Linked DNA regions of Sus scrofa. The protein of the gene in region 2 purifies or fractionates together with the protein of the main gene of each other region. This does not show direct contact. Links are inferred from orthologs where the notes say so. Each region holds a gene or a part of one and is shown on either strand. Other genes may lie near its edges.

Region 1 (2,357 bases), on a different chromosome or scaffold from region 2:
CATCCTCATGGATACTAGTCGGGTTCATAACCTTCTGAGTCATAACGGGAACTCCCCGAAATAAAGCATTTTCAAATTAAGGTATGTACCTTTTTTTAGACAAAATGATTTTATACTATAACCACTTTTTTTTTTAAGAATTAAGATATGAGCTCAGGGCTATCTAACCTAAAAATTTTTAAATTCCTACTCACTGTGCTATTTCTGAAATAATAAATGTGAAAATTCATTGGAATCTTAGAAGCTTATAAATATCTCTAAAATAAACTAGCTTTACAAATACCCTTTGAAATACATGTTAATGCAAACAGTTATTCATCAAATACCTAAACTTTATACAATGGTCAATCATCATTTACCTTAGTTCTTTGCTTAAATCTTTATTCAAGAGTTTTGTGGATTAATTTGTACTTTTAATTAAAATTTTAATTTTTACACTGGAAAACAACTAAAAGAATGCTGACTTTGGTCTTAGATTTTTCAAAGACAAAACTTGGGGAAAAAAAAATGTTCAGCCCTAGGTCAAAAGTTTTATTCAGGTACAGAGAAGTCCATGTGAATTGCGCACTGGGCCAGTATTAAATCCAAGAATAACAATTTCATTCCAAGACTATTTATTCTTACTACAAGTAATAACAATAGTCAGTATACTTGGGAAATGGAGTACAGTTTTTCAGCTGACATTTAAAACAGATGTAATTGACATTATTCTAACATGTAAGATCAACAAACAGTTAACTACATGGCCAGTATCTAATGTAGAACTTTATTTTCTACTGTATTAATAAACTAAAGGCAAGAAAATATCAAGTGAATTTTAAAGGCAAATCTTTACTCCTTAAAGAAAAAATACAAACGGTAGTACTTTTATAATAGATCGTTATATTTTACATAATATAAACAAAAGCACTAATCTTATGTCTAGTTTCCTTAAACTACAATGAATCACAGCATGGGTGAAAAAAATGGGTTTACTCGTTGGCAGCAAATAAACAACTTGGGAAAGGGGGTAGCATGCATTTATTTTTTAAACTGTCTATGCGCAGGCACTGACATAACCAAGCTTTAATAGCCACCACCGCCTCTTCCTTGTCCAGGGTAGCCACTCCCATAGCCCCCTCCTCTGCTACTTCCTCGCTGGAATCCCCCAGATCCTCTGTAGCCTCCACCACCAGACCCTCTGTAGTCTCCTCCTGACCCACCTCTATAGCCACCTCGGGAACCCCCTCTGTAGCCTCCGCCACCACCTCCACCTCCACCATAGCCTCCCTGATAGGAGTTGGAGCCACCACTATAGCTGCCGCCACTGAAGCCTCCATTATCATTGAAACCTCCGTTACCATTGAAGCCTCCACTACCACTGAAGCCTCCACCACCACTGAAGCCTCCACCACCCCCATAGCCTCCATTACCCCCAAAGCCTCCACCACCCCCATAGCCACCACTACCCCCAAAGCCCCCACCACCACCATAGCCTCCACTACCACCAAAGCCCCCATTGCCACCGAAGCCTCCGCTACCACCGAAGCCCCCATTTCCACTGAAGCCTCCGCCACCACCAAAACCTCCACTACCACCAAAACCTCCGCTACCACCGAAGCCGCCACCGAAGCCTCCGCCACCGCCGAAGCCACCACCGCCGTAGCCTCCGCCGCCTCTGTAGCCTCTGCCACCTCCGTAGCCTCCACTGCCATAACCAGAACCTCCCCTTCTATATCCACTTCCATTGTCATATCGAGCCATCTTGGGAGGACGTGGACCATCTCCATATCTAGAGAAAGCACAAAACCACCACCTTTAGCAAAGTATCCTTAATACTTCTCAACTAGTCACAAGATAGAAACATTTAGTCATATTTGAAAATTTAACACACAAAGGGAATGAAGCCAAATGCATACATACAAACAGAAATGAAATAAATCTGCTAAATCCAAAACAGACACAAGATGAAGCATAACTATTAACCATCTGTTTTGTTAAAGTTCTGGTTCATTCTCAAAAACCTTAAATTTTGGCAATAAGTCCTTACAACTTTAAGAGTTCTTTCTCACATCTCAACTATATGTCATTCTAGGAAAGTGAAAGAGGTTCCCTGAGATGGCAGTGAGTTATTTGATCTTTACCACTAGGTATTTTCCTGCATTAACTGTTTTTGAAAAGTGTCTTTGGCTAATTTGTTTACATCTAAATCTTGGTTCACGTGGCAAAGAAAGTGAGGGGTAGTGAAAAACTGCCTAAAATCAAATTGTCTCACCAAAATGTCAATTCAACATACCCGAAACCACTTATTCCTTCTGTGCAACTTTCTGAGAACATCCTGTACTTGTCCCATCCTTTCTAGTTTCTGGCCTTTTGTC
Region 2 (3,652 bases):
AGAAGCCAACAGTTCTTACAGTTTAAGAATTTATATTTAAACTGAATATTTAAAAGGTAACTTCTCTGTTCTAGGATATAGAATTGAATGGAAATTTTGATAAGAATGCATTAACTTCTCAGTCACCAGGGAATAAGATTTGCTTTTTTTTTTTTTCCAGAAATTTTTTTTAACTAAGTGGTATTAGATGTGTTTAAAATGTTTGAATGTGAAGTAAATTTAGATCAAGATTTAATGACTTTGAAACTTGTGTAGTTCAGCTGAGGCAATTTTTTTTGGTGTAACACAACTAATATGCAGTTTAACATATGGTTTAAATTTGATGTAAGTTTTTTTTTTCCCCCCCAGAAAACTTTAGAAACTGTTCCTTTGGAGAGGAAAAAGGTACTCTGCCAGCAGGTCACCTCATATTTAAGAATTTAATTTCCTGTATACAAAGAGAAAATGTAAATAAAAATTGAAATGATGTTTTCCTTTGCAGAGAGAAAAGGAACAATTCCGTAAACTCTTTATTGGTGGCTTGAGCTTTGAAACTACAGAAGAAAGTTTGAGGAACTACTACGAGCAATGGGGAAAACTTACAGATTGTGTGGTATGTTAATAAAGTGCTTGCAGATAATAGTCCTTTTAACTCCCCAGGCTCATCTGTTTAAAGTGTTAGTGAATCATTAAGAAAAGTTTTAAGTTCATGTTCATTTTTAAATGCTGTAAGTAATGAGATTAAATAGTAACTCTACTCCTATGCATTTAAGGTCATGAGGGATCCTGCAAGCAAAAGATCAAGAGGATTTGGTTTTGTAACTTTTTCATCCATGGCTGAGGTTGATGCTGCCATGGCTGCAAGACCACATTCAATTGATGGACGAGTGGTTGAGCCAAAACGTGCTGTTGCAAGAGAGGTGAGTGAATACGTAATTTGTGCAGTAGATAATTTGGGGGAAATTTTTTTGAGATTAGAAAGTTATCCATGTTTCGCTCCAAGTTTTGTTTCCTCATTAATGCTGAGTGGGGTTTCTGTGTTTTTCATTTCTTAGTTTTATTTGAAAGACTAGGTTCTTAATCATTTTGCCTTATGTAGTATTTGAATATAGAGTAGAAGTCATTTGTTAATCAGATAGTGTGCTTTTTCCTCTATTTCAGGAATCTGGAAAGCCAGGGGCTCATGTAACTGTGAAGAAGCTATTTGTTGGTGGAATTAAAGAAGATACTGAGGAACACCATCTTAGAGATTACTTTGAGGAGTATGGGAAAATTGATACCATTGAGATAATTACTGATAGGCAGTCTGGAAAGAAAAGAGGCTTTGGATTTGTTACTTTTGATGACCATGATCCTGTGGATAAGATTGTGTGTAAGTGTCTGTAATAAGTGCTAGGGGTGTGTGGTTCTTTTCACTATTAAGTTTTGACTGTGTTAGCTCTTAAGATTTTGTATAATTTTGTAAAAAAATAGTTTGTAAGTTAACTAATACTATATATAGAACATTGACTTAGGGAATCTGAACTTTTCTTCCAGTGCAAAAGTACCATACCATCAATGGTCATAATGCAGAAGTGAGAAAGGCTTTGTCTAGACAAGAAATGCAGGAAGTCCAAAGTTCTAGAAGTGGAAGAGGAGGTAACTTCAATTCCATTTTTTCTTAAGATTTATGGTGATAAGTGTTTGTTACTAACCATGGTATTTATTTTAGGCAACTTTGGTTTTGGAGATTCTCGTGGTGGTGGTGGAAATTTTGGACCAGGACCTGGAAGTAACTTTAGAGGAGGATCTGGTAAGTCTTCATTCTAAGTTTAGAAGGGTGAATGTTCTATGAGTTAGTTTTAATTCAGTTCTAGGCGATCCAAGCTAATTTTGAAAGTTTTAAGAGTTTTAAAGTAGGTTCTATCCCGGTGGAATTTTCTGATTTTGCTAGGCAGGAGATATTTTGAAACATGGTGTTAAAACGATACTTAATCAGGGACAAATAATTGTAGAGGTCCATTTAATGGTCCTCATTTTCTGGAAGAATTGAATTTGAGGTTTTTCTGAAGAGTGAGTGGAAACCCTGTAGGGGGTTTTAACCTGTAGTCTTACATAGGTTAATCTGGTTAATAATTAGTACAGTACCAATAGAAAAACTGCCCCTGTCCAATATCATTCCTATGTATGAATGAATGGAAGATTTTAAGTTGAGGCTTGCCGGCTCCAAGCCCTCCAGCTGAACAGTTATCCCTGTCCCGATGGTGAAATCTACACTCTTTAGTGTCTAAGGATAAACTGGTATCACCAGTGTTAATAGGTTAAGGGGGAGATGGCTTCCTAATAATTCTTATCCATAGATATTAGCAGGTAACTTGGAGGAAAGGGGGTAAGAAATTGAGAAGCTTCAACAGGGGTAAAATAAATAATCATGATCCTTTTCTTCTGCTCCTAACAGATGGATATGGAAGTGGTCGTGGATTTGGGGATGGCTATAATGGGTATGGAGGAGGACCTGGAGGTCAGTTTTTTCTTCTCTTTAGTTTATGTGTCTTAAGATTTAATCACTGTGCATGCTGTCCATTTGAGAATACAGATAAAGTTTTTCTTAATGTTTTACCTTGATAACTTATATAAAGGGATTAGGTGATAATGATTCAATTATTTGGCTTTTCTTATTTACATCTTAGCTGTTATAAACCTGAGCAAAGTATGCTTGCAGACCTAAGGAGGGTATACTTGGAGGTGTTTGTAAACTTTGCAAATTCAATTGGGTAGATTTAAAATGAGAATTTAAAAATCCTATTTAAAGATGTCTGGCTGTTGCCCATGAAAATGAATTGGACATAGATGTGATGATTGTATGTTGGTGCCTTTTTTTAAAAATACAGAATGATGGTTATGAACTAGATCAACATATAAGGGGCTATATGTAAGAACATTGTGTTGTGTCAGCTCTTAACCAAGATTAAGTCCTCCAAGAAAATATCCCGAAAGTCCACAAAGGAAATTCCAGAACATAAAAGGGTGCTCCTGTGTCCAGCTAAGGTTGTGAGCCACTGTTAAATATTAAGTGGCGTGTATGTGTATGTGCATTTATATCATGTATGTTTTGTTGGAGTACAGAAAAGAATGATACTTGCTTACAAAATGTCCTGATAAGAAAGAGACAGGACATTTAAAACTGAGCTGATAAATAGACCTGATTTCTGGTTTTGCACTCAACTATGCTTCTATATTTCACTATTTCCAACTTTGAAATCCAAATCGATTTTGTTTGAGAAAGATGTTTTTGTGTTCTGTGCAAGTAACCTGAGACTACCAATTTGTGTTTGAGCTAATGCAAGTTTGCTAATTTCTGGTCCTCCCCCCATTTCTACTCAGGAGAAGGCATTTTATTTAAGAGGCATGGTAATTCAAAGGGAAATATGAATTGGGAGCTTAATCTTTTGGACCAGTAGGAAATGTGGCTCCTCTGCTTTGTCCCACTTGCCTAAACATCTTGTCTGTCCCATCCCTTCAACCTTAAACAAGATACAAAACAGTATTTCAGGATACCTTGTTTTATGGGAGATTTGTGGCATTGCAAATACTTGTTTCTTTCCAAAGGTTGGAACCACTTGGTTGTGGTAGGTGCTCCCCACCCCCAACTGTCTGCCAAGGATAGTTACTCAGAATCTGCCCTTAAGGCTAT
Region 3 (4,330 bases), on a different chromosome or scaffold from region 2:
AAAGTGCATAAAAACAATACAGTCTATAAAGAACACACCAAACTGTTAACACAATTTTAATTTGGGGAAAGGTTAAGCAGATTTGGAAGACAAACTACTTCAGAATGACTCTCCATCCCATGTGAATGAGTACACAACAAAGTAACCCACACTCTACTAACTCTTCAAAACTCAAAATTAGAACCTGGAATTCTATTTACAAAACCAAACCAAGACAAAACCTGAAGGCATAAAAAAAAAAAAAAAAAAAAAACACCAATCTGTTCTGATACCTTAATAAAGTTGTCTCAGAAACTACCTAAAAAAAGTGTTTACCAATTATTCAGGATAATCCTTCTCAACCTTTCTTTACAAGTGTCACAGCAATTCTGCTTTAAAAATTTCTAGTGTTAGCATCAATCAAAACACCAGCAGCTGAAATACACAGTTTGTCAGTTCTGTATGAAATTTTTAATGTAATTTCCTAAACATTAGGCTAAGTGAAAGAAACCAGTCACAGAAGACCACTACTGTATGATTTTAAATGGATGAAGTTAACGATCTGTGAACTGTATCTCAAAGCTGTTAAGAAAAAACATCTTAGAAGCCAAATGAGATAAAATTCCTTTATAACATAAAGGGTTTGATACATTAATAAACAACCCTAAACCATGCTTCTAAAAAAGTTCCTTGGTCAGCAGGTTAAGAAGGATCCTGTGGTGTCACAGCTGTGGCACAGGTTTGGCCAGAAAATTAAAAAATGAGAGGTAACTTCAAAATTTTGGTCAGAAGTGGTGATGAAATGCTTAAATAAAATGGAAATCATTCCCTTTTCATTGTGCTTGCTCAATTTTAAATAAAAATAGACTCACACACTACTACTTGGAGGTGAGGTGTCTAAACGGATTTCTTTTCTAGAACAAAGTTACCACCCACTGCAGTTCAATCACTTGTTTAACAAAGTAAGAATACCAAAACTACACAGTTGTTTAAAATATAAAAAGCAATTTAGATGCATTTCCAAATCATGATGCAGATGAAGGGCAGGAAAAAAGGTTTCTAGGGTAATCCAATCAGGGAAGCTGTTACACCACACAAGACTTTATAAGAAACTGGGCTATATGTCTTTACAAGTGCATAGAAACACAGAACATCTTCAACATCATGAAGATCTTTTTCATTTTTAAAGATGAAAAAATAAACACACTTGTAAAGATTCATATGCATTATTGGAAGTCTCATGCCTTGCCTGTCCTTTACTTTGCACAGTTTTCAGTGAAAATTACAGACCCAGTTCTCCAATGTTCTAAGGACCGAAAAAAAAAAAAAAAAAATCACAGCACCACATGACTGGGCTTGCAGTTTGTTTTTCTGTTGAGTAGGGTTATTTTCTTCGCCAAAATGTTACTATAGTCCTAAGCCAAATAGAAAATTCGCTTAGCTACCGAAAGAAAATAAACCCTAACTGTATTTTGAAGTATTTTATTTCCACAGCCTTAATGCCAAAACAATCTTTGCACAAAATAAAAATCTTGGAGATTGGTGAAAGCCGATAACGCAATTCCTATACACACATTTTTTCCATCACTGGTTGTTTTTTAACAACTGTTTCCCAAAAGTAAACCACCTACTTAAATTCTAACACAGTATTCGCCAAACTACACAAAACCATTGCTAAACCATCCCGCCCCCGCCCAAAGGTTCAGAAAGTCGTATCTTGGTTCACCTGCTTGAAATAAGCCCCACTGCACATTCCTATTCGGTAAGTCACCCGCTTTTCTGCTTACAATTACCCATAAAGTCTCCCAATACGGTTTAAGTGGAAAAAACCCTTTGGAAAATGAGTACGTACTCTTTTCGAAGCTCCAAACCTGGAATATAAGGGCCGGCTAAGCGTCCTTTATTCCTCCCCGGAGGCTTTTCGTTTTATCTAGCTGCCCTAGAGACCAGAGAGCTAGGGAGAGTACGCCCCTTCCCCCCCTTCCCGTTCGGCAGCAAAGCTTGGCTTAAAAACCTTCGCCACCCGGCGGCGGAATTACAAAGGAGGCCGTCTGCCTCCTTTGTCCCGGGTTTGGGAGTTGAGCGCCTTCGTCGCCATTGGCTTTCCTCCCCCAGCTCCAGCCTCTCTCATCTTGGGAATCTGCGTCAGAAGTCACTCGCAGTCCCGCCAGCCCAGGTAGCCCAGCTGAGACTGCGGAGGAAGGGAGGCCGCGGTGGGAGGCCAGGCCCATCCGGCGCCATTTCCAACCGGAGCGCGCCCGAAGGCCCTGAGCCTCCCCCCACCCAAGTGCCCAGCCTTTCCCAGCTCGCTTCCTTCCCCACCCACATCCCTTCCGAGGCGCTCTAACCACCGCCCCCCTCCCCGGACTCCTAAATCAGTTTTCGGAAGCTAAGGGGCAAGAAGCAGAAAGAGAGGAGAAGGGCGGGAAGCCCAGGTGGCCGCGCCACCGTACCCAAAATGGCGGAAGCCAAACCAGCAGGGAAAAGACGGGAAATGCGTGATGAGCCCCACTTCGGGCCTCGGCTTCGTCCACTAAATCCCCCCTGAGTAAGTCCCCCCCCCGCCCGGCAGGCCGCCCCCGAAGTGAGAGATCGCCCGGGGGGGCGCAGCCTGGCCACCTCCGAGCGGCGACCTCCACACTTCGCCCCGCCCCACCCCCTCCCAGTTTCTCTTTCGTCCTTCTCCCGACTCCACTCTCGAAACCACCATCCCAACCTACCCCCTTTTACTTCAGATACCCTGTCGAGCGACAGTAGCGCCGACTCCGCTGCTTGCGGGGCCCGGTCGTGGAGAAGGAGAAGTCGCCTGCCTCGTGTAGCGCTCCCACAACGGTTCTTCCAACCGTCTCCGGCGGTGGCAACCGCTGAGGGAGCTGCGCAGCAGAGCGACTGGCTTGGGGGGATGGGAGAGCGCGAGAGAGAAGGAGGGGGTGGAGCGAGAGCGAGGAAGACCCACCGGCCCCGCTCTCGCGAGGCAAGAGAGTCGGTCCCGCCTTGGCGCGGAAGGCAAGAAGTGCGCTTGCGCGTTGGTGGAAGGCCTGGTTGTTGGGGTCGGGGGAAGGTGGAGGGTCAGTAACTCCGCTTTTCTTGCTTACCCTAAAACCTTCAAATTCTCAAAGCCACCTTTCTGCTTTCGCGGGGAGATGTGAAGTGGCGAAAGTATTCCTTCCTGTTTGTGTTGCAAGAATCCTGGAGTCGAGTTTTGGAGAAGTCCGCTTTTTCCCAGCGAGAGCAAATTCTGTAAGGCTCCGCCCTCACCCCGCGTCACCTGCGTGGAAAGGGAGCCACGTGGTTCGGCAGCCAAATGCGGGGAGGGCTTTTCTTGTCCACCATGTTTGCGTTATGCAGTAAAAATAGTAGTGTTTTCCGGCTGGGAAGATACAGTAATGTCCACCAGGCCCCTATTTGGGTTCTCAGGCTGGAGCTCCTTCCCCCGGCCTTGGCGCTGCCAGCCCAGCCGCCCAACCCGCCCCACAGTGGGGCTTATTTGGGGGTGGAGTGGGGAGGTGGGTTGCCTTGCAAATCGCTTCCTCCTTTCGCCTTGGCGTTACCTCTCGCCTTTATCTCTCCCACTTTGTAATCTCAGTGAGCATCAGCCGCTCGCGGCGGGAGACTTCCAGTTGTTTTCTAAATAGTACTTTGCATCCTTGAAAATTGCTTGTACAAATGACACCTAGTAAATAATTTTTGGTTGTGCTGTCATACCGCCAAGGTTCCTAGGGACTCCTCTTGAAGGGGAAAAAAAAAAAAAAAGGCGAGCTGAATTTCTGTAAGAAGATTAGAGGTCGGTCCTAGTACTGAGATCAGCGCAAGTTAAAGTGCGGACGTATAGGAACGCACATCAAATGCAAAGGAGAGGAGGAAATGAGTTTAAGTGTACACAAGTACCCCTAGGTTGGGAATGTTGACAAAACTAGCTTGTAGAACTTCAGAGTGCAAAGACTTTGGGCTGTAGACCCTGAAAAGGGCGTCGAGGTGGGGTGAAGGAGACCTAGAGGATTAGCAGTGGAGAAGCTTGAATAATTTTTTCTTCCCTGAGGTCTGCAGTGTGAAGGGTGGAGACAGGAGTCCAATTACTATCTTATTGTGGAAACTTGCATTTCTTGGCTTTCATTCATCCTCAAACCTGTTTAAGACAAGTGTGGGACTAGGTCATAGTGCCCTAACTGCCTTTCTTGAGCCTACGCCCTCAAGATAACCCTCAGAGAAAGGGGGGGAAAGGACAGTGTGTTCATTACAGGAAATAGAAAAATAAAACAGGATGATGTAATAACAGTAGCTCACAATTATTGAGAGCTTGCTCAAGTTAGGTGCTCAATTCACTGACACTTTATAACCCTGAAAAAAAATT

The links.
Region 1: the proteins of HNRNPA2B1 (region 2) and DHX9 purify together in Homo sapiens (affinity purification with mass spectrometry; 4 studies listed by BioGRID and IntAct, with this or other methods). This does not show direct contact. The link is inferred for Sus scrofa from reciprocal best matches to the Homo sapiens genes HNRNPA2B1 and DHX9.
Region 3: the proteins of HNRNPA2B1 (region 2) and HNRNPH3 fractionate together in Homo sapiens (co-fractionation; 3 studies listed by BioGRID and IntAct, with this or other methods). This does not show direct contact. The link is inferred for Sus scrofa from reciprocal best matches to the Homo sapiens genes HNRNPA2B1 and HNRNPH3.

The regions. Positions count from the first base shown.
Region 1 is NC_010451.4:124,182,079-124,184,435, reverse strand, and holds the end of DHX9 (ATP-dependent RNA helicase A), read right to left. Parts: intron 1,772-2,357; coding exon 1,066-1,771; 3' UTR 598-1,065; downstream 1-597. UniProt on the Homo sapiens protein: Multifunctional ATP-dependent nucleic acid helicase that unwinds DNA and RNA in a 3' to 5' direction and that plays important roles in many processes, such as DNA replication, transcriptional activation, post-transcriptional RNA regulation, mRNA translation and RNA-mediated gene silencing.
Region 2 is NC_010460.4:46,208,014-46,211,665, forward strand, and holds part of HNRNPA2B1 (heterogeneous nuclear ribonucleoproteins A2/B1), read left to right. Parts: intron 1-348; coding exon 349-384; intron 385-481; coding exon 482-592; intron 593-752; coding exon 753-899; intron 900-1,140; coding exon 1,141-1,351; intron 1,352-1,515; coding exon 1,516-1,617; intron 1,618-1,690; coding exon 1,691-1,771; intron 1,772-2,416; coding exon 2,417-2,479; intron 2,480-3,652. UniProt on the Homo sapiens protein: Heterogeneous nuclear ribonucleoprotein (hnRNP) that associates with nascent pre-mRNAs, packaging them into hnRNP particles.
Region 3 is NC_010456.5:71,484,823-71,489,152, reverse strand, and holds the start of HNRNPH3 (heterogeneous nuclear ribonucleoprotein H3), read right to left. Parts: upstream 2,859-4,330; 5' UTR 2,700-2,858; exon of another isoform or gene 2,391-2,699; intron 2,156-2,390; exon of another isoform or gene 1,832-2,155; intron 1,742-1,831; exon of another isoform or gene 1,611-1,741; intron 1-1,610.